Linked DNA regions of Nothobranchius furzeri. The main gene of each other region encodes a partner of the protein of the gene in region 2 in a complex. Links are inferred from orthologs where the notes say so. Each region holds a gene or a part of one and is shown on either strand. Other genes may lie near its edges.

What was found. The genes of interacting proteins can lie anywhere in the genome.
Region 1: fnip1 (region 2) and lamtor3 share a complex: the UniProt entries of both Homo sapiens proteins name them as parts of the lysosomal folliculin complex. The link is inferred for Nothobranchius furzeri from reciprocal best matches to the Homo sapiens genes FNIP1 and LAMTOR3.

Annotation. Positions count from the first base shown.
Region 1 is NC_091758.1:44,825,920-44,833,174, forward strand, and holds lamtor3 (ragulator complex protein LAMTOR3), read right to left. Parts: upstream 4,200-7,255; 5' UTR 4,083-4,199; intron 3,904-4,082; 5' UTR 3,881-3,903; coding exon 3,872-3,880; intron 3,502-3,871; coding exon 3,467-3,501; intron 3,394-3,466; coding exon 3,335-3,393; intron 3,261-3,334; coding exon 3,127-3,260; intron 3,033-3,126; coding exon 2,969-3,032; intron 2,901-2,968; coding exon 2,827-2,900; 3' UTR 2,662-2,826; downstream 1-2,661. Other genes in the region: dapp1 (dual adapter for phosphotyrosine and 3-phosphotyrosine and 3-phosphoinositide), read left to right, coding at 751-838, 2,221-2,244. UniProt on the Homo sapiens protein: As part of the Ragulator complex it is involved in amino acid sensing and activation of mTORC1, a signaling complex promoting cell growth in response to growth factors, energy levels, and amino acids.
Region 2 is NC_091750.1:58,905,429-58,912,816, reverse strand, and holds part of fnip1 (folliculin-interacting protein 1), read right to left. Parts: intron 6,312-7,388; exon of another isoform or gene 6,196-6,311; coding exon of another isoform or gene 6,185-6,195; intron 3,294-6,184; coding exon 3,164-3,293; intron 1,288-3,163; coding exon 1,150-1,287; intron 1,043-1,149; coding exon 942-1,042; intron 1-941. UniProt on the Homo sapiens protein: Binding partner of the GTPase-activating protein FLCN: involved in the cellular response to amino acid availability by regulating the non-canonical mTORC1 signaling cascade controlling the MiT/TFE factors TFEB and TFE3.

The DNA.
Region 1 (7,255 bases), on a different chromosome or scaffold from region 2:
TCATAAAAACAGAACATGTGAGGCAAAAGTAACAGTTTTTATTTCACTTGGATGAAACTGTTCTCTCCATGGGAACGTTTCCTAAATGTTCCTAAACTTCCTTCTGGAATACTGAACCATGTCCAGGAGCCTAAATCCCTAATCAGATTATTTCTGCACACATGAAATCAAAACGATTGAAAACACGACTTTTAGAGTCACTGAGACTGTTTGCTGGAACAACACCTGAACGGTTTCAGAATTCCCAACAGAACCAAGCAGATGGATCGGATCAGCTGCAGCTGGACTTCCCCAAACCACATCAGAGTGAGATGAAGAGGAAGTTTCAGTCATCGCTGAACTGGTTTCAACACAATTTCACCTTCAGTTCATCAGAAAAACAGGAACAGATGATTCTGATTCCTTCAATCTCAAGAAAACAGAATATTTCAGATCTAATCCAGGAAAACTGAACTCCGGGTGGGATCAGAATCATCCAGCAGAACGAACCGGGAGAGAAAATAAACGTGAATCTGAAAGAGGAAGATCAAAGATTAGTTACACACAAGTGGAAGAGGAAGAGGAAGACGGGACTGTGGACACACAAACAGGAAGTCAACCAGCACATGAGACATTATTTCAAAATAAAACTGGAAACTAGTAACGGGTTCAAACGTCACAATGTCGATGGAAAACAGGAAAATGATGCTTCCCTGACTGGTTAAGAGTCGGAGCGTCTGACCTCTGTTCTGTTAACTCTTCTCTGTCCAGTTTGGTGTTTCCTGAGCGAACCTTTTATCTGTGTGCTAAGACAGCGGTGGAGGCCGACGAGTGGATCAAGATCCTCCAGTGGAAACTGGTGAGTGGAAAACCAGCTTCAGATGCCCAAACATCTGTCAGGTAAACATCTGCCAGACACACACCTGTCAGGTAAACATCTGCCAGACACACATCTGTCAGGTAAACATCTGCCCAGTAAACATCTGCCAGACACACATCTGTCAGGTAAACATCTGTCAGGCACACACCTGTCAGGTAAACATCTGTCAGGTAAACATCTTTCAGGTAAACATCTGTCAGACACACATCTGTCAGACGTCTGTAAGTCAAACTAAAAAAACACTTCCTGTCTCACTTCCTCTTTGCTAAAATCCACTAGATTTCTTCATCTGCTGATTGTGTCTCAGCCCGAGTCTTTAGGGCGGGGTCACTAACGTGGTGACCCTGCGGGCACCAAGGTGCTCTTGGGGTCACCACGAGTGCCCCCCGCAGGCCAGTCTAAAAATGGCACAAGTCACCACTAACCCTGATTTTTCCTTTTTTTAACTGTGTTGCTGTTTTGAGTTAAAGCTGCATCGATGCTTATTTGAAAGTGAAAATATTACTTAATCATTCCTGAGAACAAAACTATTTGGTGTTTTTGTGTGTTAGCGTACGTAAATGTGGCAGCGGTGCAGCTTGAGGGGCTGCGAGTAGGGTGACCAGATGGCTCACTTAGGGGACTTCTGGTTATTTGGTTTGGAGAAAGGTTTCCTGGTTTAAAACTTTGACTAAAGTAGCGCTCGTCATTCATCAGCTCCTGCTTCGAGTGCGTCGGGGAGCGTGGATCCACCCAGAACATTTACACATCCAGGAGCCTGAGACAGTCCAGAAGCTCATAACCTCTTCAGCAAGCTCCCTGGAGACATCTGACCATTCACAAGCTGCAGATGAGCAGCTGGGGTCACGCGGCGTTCGGGCCGCAGCAGTGAAAGGTTCCTACTCCAAGTGAAAACGTAGTTTATGTCCCTGGGGCACTCTGAGCCGCTTGTTTGGACTGAATATGAATAAAAATGAGTTAGGGGTTCTCTTCCAGCAAACATGCGCTGCGCTTGTATAAAAAATCTATTTTTGGGCTTCTTCTGTGTTCGCTAATCAGTCCGTGCATCGCTTTGGTGGGAAAAATGATCCAGATCACCCAACCCTAGTCTGAACTGGATCAGGAGGCCTGCGGCTGCATGTAAGTGAGGGAGCTGGTGGCCTGAGGTCATGACCTCTACAGGAAGTCAGGTGGACATGATCTCAGTCTTGGAGAAAGTAGGTTAGATGAAGATGCACGTCTCTGGATGTGAGTCCAGCTGATCCATTTCCCTCATGTTTCAATTAACCGACGAGTCCAAGGAGCCTTGAAGCTCAGAGGACTTGATACTTCTGAATGTATTTACAGTTTCAACCATTAATCCACCAACTATGTGTTTCCAGTCTCAGGTAAGAAGAGGCCGATGACACTCGTCTGCAGCTTCCTCCTCCAGGTTGTCGTGGAAACGGTGAATGAGAACCATCCGGAACAGGACTCATATTTTAAATGAATTCTGTTCATTCTGAAGATCTTTATGGGTCCATCAGAAGATCAACTGCTTCACCAGTTAGCTGGAAGCTCAGACATGTCAGGGTTCTGATGCTCGCCATGCTGTATGCCAGCAGCAAAGCATTGTGGGTAGAACTGACATGTGAGTGGCTTATTTATATCTCCACATGAGAATGTGAGTTTCCAGAAGCAGGAGAACCAGTTTTATTGTGGAAACACTTTGTTCATGACTGATGAATGTTTAAATTAAAGCCTCTGAAACCATCTGGACTCCGTCTGCTCTGAGGTTCTTATCTGTATTCTTTAGGTTTAACTCTAAATGAACCACTCTGGTGCCCAGAACCCACACATTTATTCAGACTAAAAGCACAGATGGAAACATTTACAGCAACGTGAATGAATCTGGTCCACACTGAACAAGCTGCAGGCAGAATTTCCTACAGAACCCAAACACATCGTGAGGATGGTGGTGAGCAGCAAGTCTTCTGGTGAGTCGGAGACTATGTCACCTCCACCACCTGCCTCAGATCCTCTATTAGAGGAGTCAACTCCTTCTCCAGACTCATGATCAGACCTGAGAACACAGAACAGAACACTGAACCAGACTGAACATCTGTTTGTCTCCATAGAGACAGATGTTACCTGTGTTGGCACCGCTGCTGGCGATCAGGCTGATAACCAGGGGGAGGCGATTGAACTGCACAATCTGATTAAGAAACACGCATCACCATGGAGACTTATGTAAAGGCATGAACATTAATGCATCCCTGTGCCGACGCTCAGAGGAGCTGCTGTGTGACCTGGTAGGAGTTGTAGTAGCAGATGATGCTCTTGTTCTTGGACAGGCCGAGTTTGCTGCCCTGATCTGTGGCCAGAGCGAAGGTGGACAAGAAACCGGGTCTCAGCGCTTGGACGGGGGCGTTGTCATTGGCAACTGTAAAAATGAGAAATGAGGACATGGCCCCCTTACCCGGGCAGGTGAGGAGGACTTTAGCACTGGCTCCTTACCTTTCACAACTGGAACACCGTCTCGGTCCGTCACTACGATGGCATGAAGACCTTCAACACTGGGAGAGTTTAAATGGATCAGTAACAACTACATACGGGTGAAACACTGAGCGTTCCCATGGAAACACCAACCTTTGGAGCTGTTTGTACAGGAATCTCTTCAAATCCTGCAGAGAAACCCACAAAAACTGGATTAAACATTTTATTATAAAAGTAAGACAACAAACCACTCCATCAGTGCTGTGTGAACAAAATGACAACTGGACGCAAAATAATAAAAAGACTGCTGCTTTAAATGTCTGGTTGCTGGTTTAATTCCTATTTCAGCGTCTCAAGACAAAACAAATCAATCTCAGACTCGTGACTCATTTAACTGATTAAAACAGCTTCTAGAGAAATCTGCTTTAAGCTGCATCTGATCAGACCTTAGAAAACACCAAAATGAACCGTCTCCGTTTGCAACATAAACACACCTAGCTTACTTTGTTTAAAAAACTGTAAAAGTTCTTTAAAATTGAGAAAACTGGTCATACTCACGTCTGCCATGACGGTCTGATCTAGTTAAGTCTCTGTGGGCAGAAAACGAATGTTAACAAATAAAACCTCCCACAAAAACCACTAACTCAAAGTCTACACTCAAGTTTAAATAAAACAAGCTAGCATGTCAGCTAATCAACAGAGATGCTGCTTCCGGTACAAACGGCCCGCTAAACAAAACACACATAAGCTATAAAAAATGCACAAATACCGTCTTCAGATGACTTTAAACACCGCTGAGACGCTCTACATGCTAAACAAGAGCTACCAGCTACCAGCTAAGTCACATGACATACGGGGCTTATTTCCGGTTTGTGCGGAAGTGTTTACGGAAGTCTGTGCTGCGTGGTTTTAGCCACGAGAGGGCAGTATTACCCTGCTTTACAACAGGACAAATGTCAAGATACGTTTAGATATTTTTACAACCTGTTCGAAAGTCTGACGTTTTTATATGACGTGATTTTTTTTACCGTTTCATCACTAATAGTATGACTGTTTAGCATATTGTTATGATTGTACGGTTTTTAAATATTTGATCACTCATCACAAGGATCATACAATCTCCCTTTTTTTTTTCGTGACACACACACACACACACACACACACACACACACACACACACACACACACACACACACACACTAGGGATTTTTGTAATAAGTGCGTGTAACAGCATCAAACTACGGTACGTGTGATGAGAATGTTAAAAAACAACAAACTATAACTGGCATGATTTTTCTGCATGTTTCCATGACACACACCTTTCTCTCTTTACTTCGCAGGCAGTGCATCTGGTTTCACCTGAACACAGTACAGCTGACTATCAGGTCATGTTAGGAACGTCTGCGCCGCCTCTGAGCGGTCCCTGTTGGACCGTCTCGATGACAGAAACTGGATGGCAATACATTTCCTCAGGCGCAATGATGACAAGGTCACGCTGTTAGGGACAAATGGCCCTGGGAAAGTTCCTGATGGCGACCTGTCCTCCCTGGCACCCTTTAGGAGGTCTCTCATTACCAACCTGGGAGTTGAGATAGACCCCCTCATGAACTTAGATAGCCAGACAACAGCAGTTGTAAGATCATGCTTTTATCAGCTCAGGCGTTAAAGAAGGATCGAGTGGTACGATGCTGCAATCTTGCACTCAAGCATTCCCTCCCTCGTGAACAAGACCCTGAGATACTTAAACTCCTCCACTTGGGGCAGGACCTCATCCCTGACCCGGAGAAGGCATTCTACCCTTTTCCGACTCAAGACCATGGTCTCAGATTTAGAGGAACTGATGCTCATTCCAGCTGCTTCACACTCGGCTGTGAACCGCTCCAGTGAGAGCCGGAGATCATGTTCTGATGAAGCCAACGGGACCACATCATCTGCATAAAGCAGAGACTCAATCCTTGGTGCTGCATCTGCAGTGATGCGGGCGTTGTACCGGTCTGTCGTGGTGAAGAGAGAGCCGAGCCGGAAGGCGAAGGTCTCAGTTTACCGGTCGATCTACGTTCCTACCCTCAATCCTTAGAGATAGGGTGAGAAACTCGGTCATCCGGGAGGGGCTCGGAGTAGACCTGCTGCTCCTCCACATCAAGAGGAGCCAGTTGAGGTGGCTCGGGCATCTGGTCAGGATGCCTCCTGGACGCCTCCCTGGTGAGGTTTTCTGGGCACGTCCAACCGGGAGGTGACCTAAAGGTAGACCCAGGACACGCTGGAGGGACTATGTCTCTCACCTGGCCAGGGAACGCCTTGGGATTCCCCGGAAGAGCTGGCCCAAGTGGCTGGGGAGAGGGAAGTCTGGGTGTCCCGGCTTAGGCTACTGCCTCCGTGACCTGACTCCGGATAAGCGGCTGAAAATGGATGGATGGATGTTTTTAAAATAAAATTGATGACACTTATAGTGTTAAGTTTATTTTTATATTTTCACAACACAAACGCACGAGGTTTGATCATTTTCCTCACACATATTAATAGTTAAATGAATCATTTCCACGGCACATATTATCATGTTTTAGTCACAGTCGTGGTGCCCTTGGGCAAGGCACTCCTTACCTGCAGTGGTTGGAGGGACCGGTGGTGCAGGTGAGCCCCAGAGCAGCGGGGAGAGGGGAGAATGACTGGTAGGCAGGAAGGTGCCCCTGATCTCCACCAGCAAGCTGGTGATGTCCAACATGGCGGTGCAGGTATCGCCCCTCTGGAGGCAGGCGTTGCACATTAGCACCTACCTACCCTGCTACCCCACATACGTAGTTCATGAGTGTTTTTCATCAGAAGAACCCCTGAAGGACGTAGTTGTTCGTCCTTTCATCAGAACCTATTTTGAGCCTGAGAGGGTTAAACTGTTGCCTCGCAGCAAAAAGGTTGCAGGCTCAAAACCCAACTGCAGTCTTTCTGTGAAGCTGCAAGTTCTCCACATGCAAGCGTGGGGTTCCTCCGGGTTCCCCCCACAGATGACCCTACAGGTTAACAAGTTGCTCTGGATGAAAGCGTCTGCCACATGAATAAACATAACAACGTTTAGCGTTTCTAAAAAATCCACTTTGGAATTGGAATAAAAATCTTTCCTGAGACCGTATCAGTTTTTCCTCTACGGGCATCAGGAGAAACTCTGATTTCCACGTCACCTTCGCTGCCACCTGCTGTGTCAGGCAGCAGCGAGCTGCAGCAGGTCGTTGAGAGGTTTCCGTGTGAAGGACACTTCGACCAGACATGAAACCAAATAAATCGGATTCACTCAGAATAAACAGCCAGACGCGTGGCGCTGACTTCCTGTCTGCTTGTCTCTGTTTCTGTGGCTGTTTGCTGTCTGTCTGCATTTCCAGACAGATCAATACTTGCTCACGGGCCCCGCCGACGCACACACGGAACGTTTTACTCTCTTTGCTTTCCAGTGATTCCACGGGAACAAAATGTTCCACAAACCTTTCCATTGGGTCTGCTGACCGGTTCTGTTGCTGACCGGTTCTGTTGCTGACCGGTTCTGTTGCTGACTGGGTTTAGCGTAGGACGAGTGGTGGTTGTGCACCGGGCCTCGTTGGGGCTTCACTCTTGTGTTTATGGTCTGGAAAAGGGAACATGCTGCGGTTCTAAAGTCCATCAGATGTTTGGGAGAACCGGTCGTGACCAGACCCAGCTGCAGCAGTAGCCTACCTTTAACCCTGAGCAGGACCTGGAGGCAGGAACAACGTACCCGGCTGTCAGACAACAAATAAAGTTATTTTTCTGCTGAATTCAACCTTCTCATCTCTGAAATGATGACGATACATCAAACTGCTTTAGGACACTCAGACACATTCACACACTGCTAGTGATGGTAAGCTACAGCGTAGCCACAGCCGCCCTGGGGAGGTCTGACAGAGGCGAGGCTGCCGTTTGGCGCCGTCGGCCCCTCTG
Region 2 (7,388 bases):
GATCCAAATTTAAGCAATTTTTTTAATTAATTTTAAGCTATAATTTACAGCTATTGCCTGGAACCGGTGCTAACCACGTCGCGAACGTGGGATTAGCCATCCAGTTACCATTAAACTTGCACTTCTCCATGGCGCAAGCTCCCACTAGCTTAACCAGCTAACGTGCTCATCTAAAAATAGTCCCCTTTCACAACCAACTGAATGTGTATGGTTCCGCTTACGCCAACATCGTACACAAAAAATGCTGAAATTCACGAAAATGTCAGAAATAAAATAATCTAGTTTATTGGGTCTTTGGTAATTTAAGACCTTTGGAAACTGTATTTAAGGATTATTTGTCATTTTTAAGGATTTTCAAGGCCTTAAATTTGGAAAAGTAAATTTAAGACTTTTTAAGACTTTTTAAGGACCCGCGGATACCCTGTAGTATTTTTGTTATTGAGACTTTACATGTAAACATTTACTGCATTCCTTTGGTGTGGTGCTTTACCGCCTTTATTCTGCGTCTTAAGCCCTTTCTGAAGACACGGTGCTGATAAATCAAGTTGTTGTGCCTCGCTTGGTAGTAATATTGCAGTAACTGTCTGTCTGATCACTCATATACAACCTAACCCTAACCCTGGTGGAAATTGATGGCATTGTTATGTAAAAACGGCTTTAGAAGCCTCTGAACAAAGTTTTCGAATCAAATTCAGTCTTGAAATCACAAAAACCATCTGGCTTTTGGTGTTGTGATATCGAGTCGCAATTCATATCTCATCGCCAGATTCGTGCCAACACACACCCCTATTGTTCAGTCACAGAAATCCTAACAAGACTTAGATATAAACACAGATGTTTGTTCCCTTAGTCACATGAAACTGATTTTTCCAAATTTCCAACGTTATGAATATTTTTAAAGTAAAAAAAGACAATTAGTCACTGGTTTATTGCTTATTTACCTGATCTGGTGGATTTTGAGAGTGGACCCTTTATAGCTCATGGCTACGGAGCCAAACATCATCTCCCCCAGCATTACTACATCAGAGGAACACCTTGAACCCTGAGGAAGAAAACAATGTTTTATTGCATTAACCTGAAAAAGGTCAAGTTTAGACTATCCACTTGCAGCTTTTGGACGCGTGTTGTTACTGCAGGGTGTTGCTTTACCTGGAAGCGGAGGCCCTGATCCTTGGATTCTCTGGCATCAGAGGCACACGACGAGGAGCTGTCCAGGGAACTGCTGCTGCCTCGTGTCGGACGGAGGTGGCAGCATTTCCCAAACATCTTCACCTGGGTATCAGCGCTCTTCAAGTCACAGACAAAGATTATTTCAGATAACCTAAAAGCTCATTTGACTCTGAAATATGCACTAAAATTACTTTAAAAATAAAACATATATATAGTGCATATTAGTTTTCAAAAACGTTCCATAAATACATTTACTGCTCCAAAGTGAGCATATATTGACAGCTTCATTTGTCATGGGGAAAATGACATGAAGTCAAACTGTGTGGGTCATAAAACACAGAAACCTAATCCAGAGGCACTTGGGTAAACAGCTAACTGACAGCAATGTGAGCTCAATCAGCCAGAGTCATGTGCCTTCTTTACTTGGCAGCCTATTCAGGAGGAATGCATTGGGGAGGGTGTGTGTGTGTGTGTGTGTGTGTGTGTGTGCGTGCGTGCGTGCGTGCGTGCGTGCGCGTGTGTTTTCAGCTCAGCTGAAACCACTGTAGCAACCAGAATGAGGGGAGACAAAAGGAAGAGAATTGTTGCTTCATCCTCTAAAGATGCAATCACCACCTGATTAAAAAAATGTGTGCACGTTTTTCTGTTTGTGCAGACGGACGAGTTTATGGCGCCGAGTTTGAGCATGGGTGTGTGTGTTTGCTGCAGTGCAGTGTGAGGAATATACACAGAGTCCAGCAGCATGTGACAGCAAGTCATATGACTCCTGGAGAACTCGTGACTGAGCAGCGCTGCAATCACTCCCTGCTTATCTCCCTCTCCTCTGCCTCTAAACTCCACACCCCTCTCTAATTCCTATAAGACGTCTCTTTTCTCCACTTATTCACCTTTACTTTTATTCTCCAACCCTTTCCTGACATTATATTTTCCCCCAAACTTCACCACCTGGACATCTTCATTTCTGATCCATTCTGACCCTTGTTTAATAATCATCTGTAGCTTGATCCCTCATTTTCTCTACGTGCTTTGAACGTTCAAGCCGTTGATCTAAAATTCATTCCAATGAGCTGACAAAAACAGTCATGTGATAAAACTCACAAAGCAGCTGGCAAACCACTAGCACTGCAGATGCATCAAAATAATGAACAGCCTATCGTGTAACACGTATAATTAAGGCTTTAATGCACAGATTTTCCTTTTTTTTTAAGTGTTTCCTTTAAACAAAATGTGAAACTACATGTGACGACAGTGTTATTTACATGTGACGCTTCAGTAGTTTAAAGAAAATCAGGTGAAATTTTTAAGCAAGTATTCCAATTTCAATGCCGGGGAGGCAGAAGTTAAACGAGAAGCTCGAGAAGCAAAGAAAAGAACAAAAGTACGTAGAAATTTAAATGGGCAGTGAAGGAAAAAAGACCAAGAAACAGAAATCTACACAATCAAGTACCATGATAAAATAAAAATTTAAAAGGTCACATTTTGAAATGACACCAGAACAGAGAGAGATTAGGATCATCGAGGAAAAGAGAGAGATGAATAATAACGACGGTGAGTGAGTGACACGCCCATCATGTGAGGATGAAAGAATGCTGCTTACACACGGGCGGTCAGCTGAGGCTATTATTACTGGAGATAAGAGCACCAGAACAAACCGGTCGAGGTTAGCTGGCAACATGCCGCTGGCTTACATGTTAAACAAGTTGTGCAGATTTTAAAAAGGCCAGCGATGGTGACAGTGTGTCCTCATTTGCAGGGAAAATCAAATGAAGGCACTGATGAAGAGATGTGATAAAAAGTGACATTTTAAAAAGCTTTTTTTATGTTTTTGCATGTATCCTGATAGCAAATAAGGGTTATCGTCAGTCACATGCACACGGTCTGGTTGACATGTACTACAGAGTGTATAAGAGAGACCATAGGTTAATCAAAGCAATCATGCAAGGGCTTTTAGAGGACCAAAAATACACAAACGCCAAGTAAACATGTGACTCACGGTGATGGGGGTTTCCTCCGTGCCCTTTTTCTTGGCATTGGAGTCGAAGAGGACATTTCTGCCACGCCTCTCACAGTCCTGGTACACTATCAGTCTAATCTGACTGGGCTCCAGCTGGGGAAGTGGCCAGCTAAAGGGGAGGAATGGTGGACACAAGAGAAAAAAAATCAAGATGGAAGTTAAGTGGATAAAAACAGGAAAATGCAATCAGGACCACTGAGAATCATTACACATGCCAAGCATGTGGGGACATGTAAACTGGATGAACTTGCAAGCTAGTGAGAAACACGGTTACAGCTGGACTGGGCATGGCAGAGGCTGCAGATTCATGCCACAGCTGCCATTCATCCATCTCATTCCCCAGCCAGTAGAGAGGCACAAAGCGCTATAAAAGCCACCTCCTCAGAGATAGTCAACGCGGAAATCGAGTGGAGTTGAGTCACCAATAAAACTTTCTCAAGTGTTGAAAGGATTATTCACCGCCAAACCCAAAGAGTGACTAATGGTCATGAGGTTGCTTTCAATGGTCAGATGACAGAAACAAAAACTTTAATACAGTTAGCTCTGTACCATAGACTGTACATACTCTGTACCCATAGAAACGTGTACTGTAAAAAGTTACTTACTGTGGATACATGGCCCCTTATTAACTACACATGACTTTTCTTTTTTGAGGAACTCAGTCATCTGGGTGATTTATTAGGGGCTATAAAGCTGACTGGTGATTGGACAAACTTGATGATGGTCAAGGGTTTACATCTGAACAAAAAGATGGATGGGTCAGGCAGATGGACGCATGATGGGCACTAAATATAGTTTTAGTATTGGGAACAGAGTGTGAGTCTTAACAGAACTGCTCAGAGTCAATGTGAGGGGAGAGGTGGAATGGGAACACTTAAGTCTGTTTGGCTCATCAGCAAAATACCCACAATCTACAGCATCACTCCAATTGTTGGCCAACGAGCGCAGACAAGACATGAAATTCCTGCCAATGGTAGTTTGTTTTCACAAGAGGTGGTTCATGTGCATCCGCTCTATGCATGGACCAAACATCGTTGTCAAAATATCACGCGTTCTTGCAGGTGAAATGATTTAGGAAGGAAACCAGCAAAAGAACATGAGTCATTTGCAGCAAACTGGACTAATTTCCACGTTACGTCTCCTTTAACATTAAAATCCCACGCAAGAAACATTTTAATTAAACTGATTATTTGCTTTTTTGCGTAAAAATAAATAAATAAATAAAGAATAACGGGACCGTATTCGACCACAGCCCAACATTAAGATTACACATTTTCACTCTGTATTTGTTGTGAATACAGCAGAATGACTTCTCTGCCTTTCTCAGACACACGTTTATCTTATGTCTCTAGAAACAAGGCACCCATCTGTCCCCGAGGCTCCAATGGTTGTTGTTCATCTACCCCAAATAAACCACAACATTTGGAAAATTCAAGTTTAAAATCAGCTAAGTGGTGGACTGGCCACGCAGCTTTTCCGTGGGTTAGGGTTACGGAGCAGTTTTGGACGTTTCAGCTCTTTCCTTCCCTTTGTTGCAAATTCAAGATGTTGACATTTTCTCTGCAGTATAACCGATAAACTTTCCGTTAAATAGTTCCTCTTGTGTCATGTGTTGTTCCCATATTGATGTCTGGGGTTTTCTCTGGAATGTGGTTATTGGAAGTTAATGTTTGACCGTCTTCCACAACCCAAACCCACCCTTGGTTTTCTTGGCTCGTATCCGAGGGAAGACCTCTTACCCAGTCGGAGTACTTCACGTGTGACGTAACGCCTCTCTGGCTTACGTAATGGGCTCAAATTGCATTATATGGAGCTGAGCCGATATCAATCTTGTTGATTTGGGTGCAAGACTGCACAGACTGTTGTTTAAGTCTGTCACATGCATCCTTGCAGTTGGACTACAGCGTCTCATGGGTGATTTATTCATGAATTAGGTGCCTGTTGCATTGTGTGTAGCCACTGTTTGTTGTATGAGCACACACGTCATGGATCAGGCCATCTTACCAAAACCTTAAACTTTCAACATCATAAAAAAAAGTTTTAAACAATAAACGAATTCCAACACTGCTCATAATTAAAAGGAACCTATTTATAACTAAGCCACAACCACCTACGCCTGTTTCCCTATGAAACCAAAGAACTGTGTAAACTTTGGTGCTGCTTTCGTTTCAAGCACATCTATAAAAAATGCTAAATGAGAAGATTAAGGATGACGGAAAACCCACGAGACAAAATCTAAAAAAAAAAATGTTTGATTTTTTTTAGATGACATTACAAGAAAATTGGGGGAAATGCAGAATTAAGCACAGATGCTCTGAAAAGGTAAGAAAAAGCAAAGTTCTATAAAGAAAACAAAATGTGAAAGAAAAACAAGTGTGATAGAAAATGGTGGATGTATTAGTGAGCTTGTGACAGTCACAGCATTGATAAACAGAAGAGGGTCATTCATAAAAGCAGTGCTTTACTTTGTGACTGCTAAAAACCCGTACTAGTCTGACTTCAATAACCGATAGTGACTCAAAGTCATGAGGTATTGGTTTCCTGGAACAAACTGTTGCTTAAAACACAAACAAAACTAATCCTTTCAAATTTTACATCATAAAAGTAAAATTAAATAAAATCCAATCAGGACTGTGATTTCTTTTATTTATCCACCACCTTCCAACTGGACATCAAACATAACCTGGATGGTATTTAAAGTGCAGAATCATTGCTCTCAATTCCACCCAAACAATGTGCTAAAACCTAAAACAATGCTTCCTTAAAATCCTCATAAGCCACACAATCACAACCGACAGAATTAACTTTGTCCATCACTCTGTTGCTGACAAACTAAACTCCTACTTTCTCTTTTCCAAATGGTTAAAAAGACCGAGGCGGTCAACACTCGGGCTAAAACAAAGTGAATCTAAGAAAACAAAGCATGCCCTCAAACACTCCCCAACATCACCATGACAACTCAGATGCACACAAGCCAGGGTAAATGTCACCAACTCCTACCTGAGCATCATTGTGTGTGTGCGGGTCTTTCCCCAGCCCTTTCCCACTCTCCTTCTCCTCTGCCAGCCACAGCAGGGTCTAAGAATAGTGGTGAACTAAATTCACACAACAACATGAGACTATCAGGTGATCACAGCAACACTGTGTGTGTGCTGGACAGTACAGAGGCAGCAGCAGCAGCAGCAGTGAGTCTGGACTGCTGACAGCCAGATAAGAGAGAGCTGGAGGGGATTTGTTTGTGTGTCATTTCTTAATCCCACTCTTTTTGTTCCTCTCTAGCTTCAGTTCTCTCATCACTTTCTTTCCATCTTTTGGCATCAGTAAATGTAAAATAACCTAACAATTCATAAAAAAAATTTTAATAACTGCTTTTGATATTTTTTCCATTTAACAACAAAAAAATATCTTCAAAAGGCTCAATAAAAGTAGACAAAACTATGTGCAATGCTTCACATTTTAACTGGTGCAAAACATAATAATGTTCATGTTGTAACAAAATGACAAATTAATGCCAGTTCTGTTCCTTATTACTTCATTTTTTTTCTCTTGACTTTGAAAATTTGAACTGATGGTACTTTTGTATCGGCAGCACTGCTACAATGTAAACAATGGACCTTCTTTGTTGTATCAGAGCAATCTAGTTTCCTAGACTGTTGTGAGTCTGACATCACCCTATCTGACCTCAAAGACCCCTCTGCCTCTCAAATGCAACTGGAACATCTGTGCATGCATGCGTGTGTGTGTGTGTGTGTGTGTGTGTGTGTGTGTGTGTGTGTGTGTGTGTGTGTGTGTGTGTGTGTGTGTGTGTGTGTGTGTGTGTGTGTGTGTGTGTGTGTGTGTGTGTGTGTGTGTGTGTGTGTGTGTGTGTGAGTGAATGCAATAAAAAAGGGTCAATACAAACTTCAATAAAAAGTTTCTTTTCTTTATCTGATAACTTCCAACTAGAGTCATCCCAACCAATCACAAACACAGACCCTGGCACGCTCTGTCACCAAGACAGCTATGCGACTTAAACAAGATGTTGCAGCAAAGAGAGGTGGAGGAAACTGTTACCAAAAAAGGTTACAGTACTTCACCAGAGTGGTAATATTTTCATTTTTACAAGTGGCTGGTCTGTGTGTCTCCGGAGGCAGCAGACAGGCACCGGATAGCCAAGAGGGGTGCAGCAGTGGCAGTTGCCGAGGCAAAATCTCTGGCGTGGGAG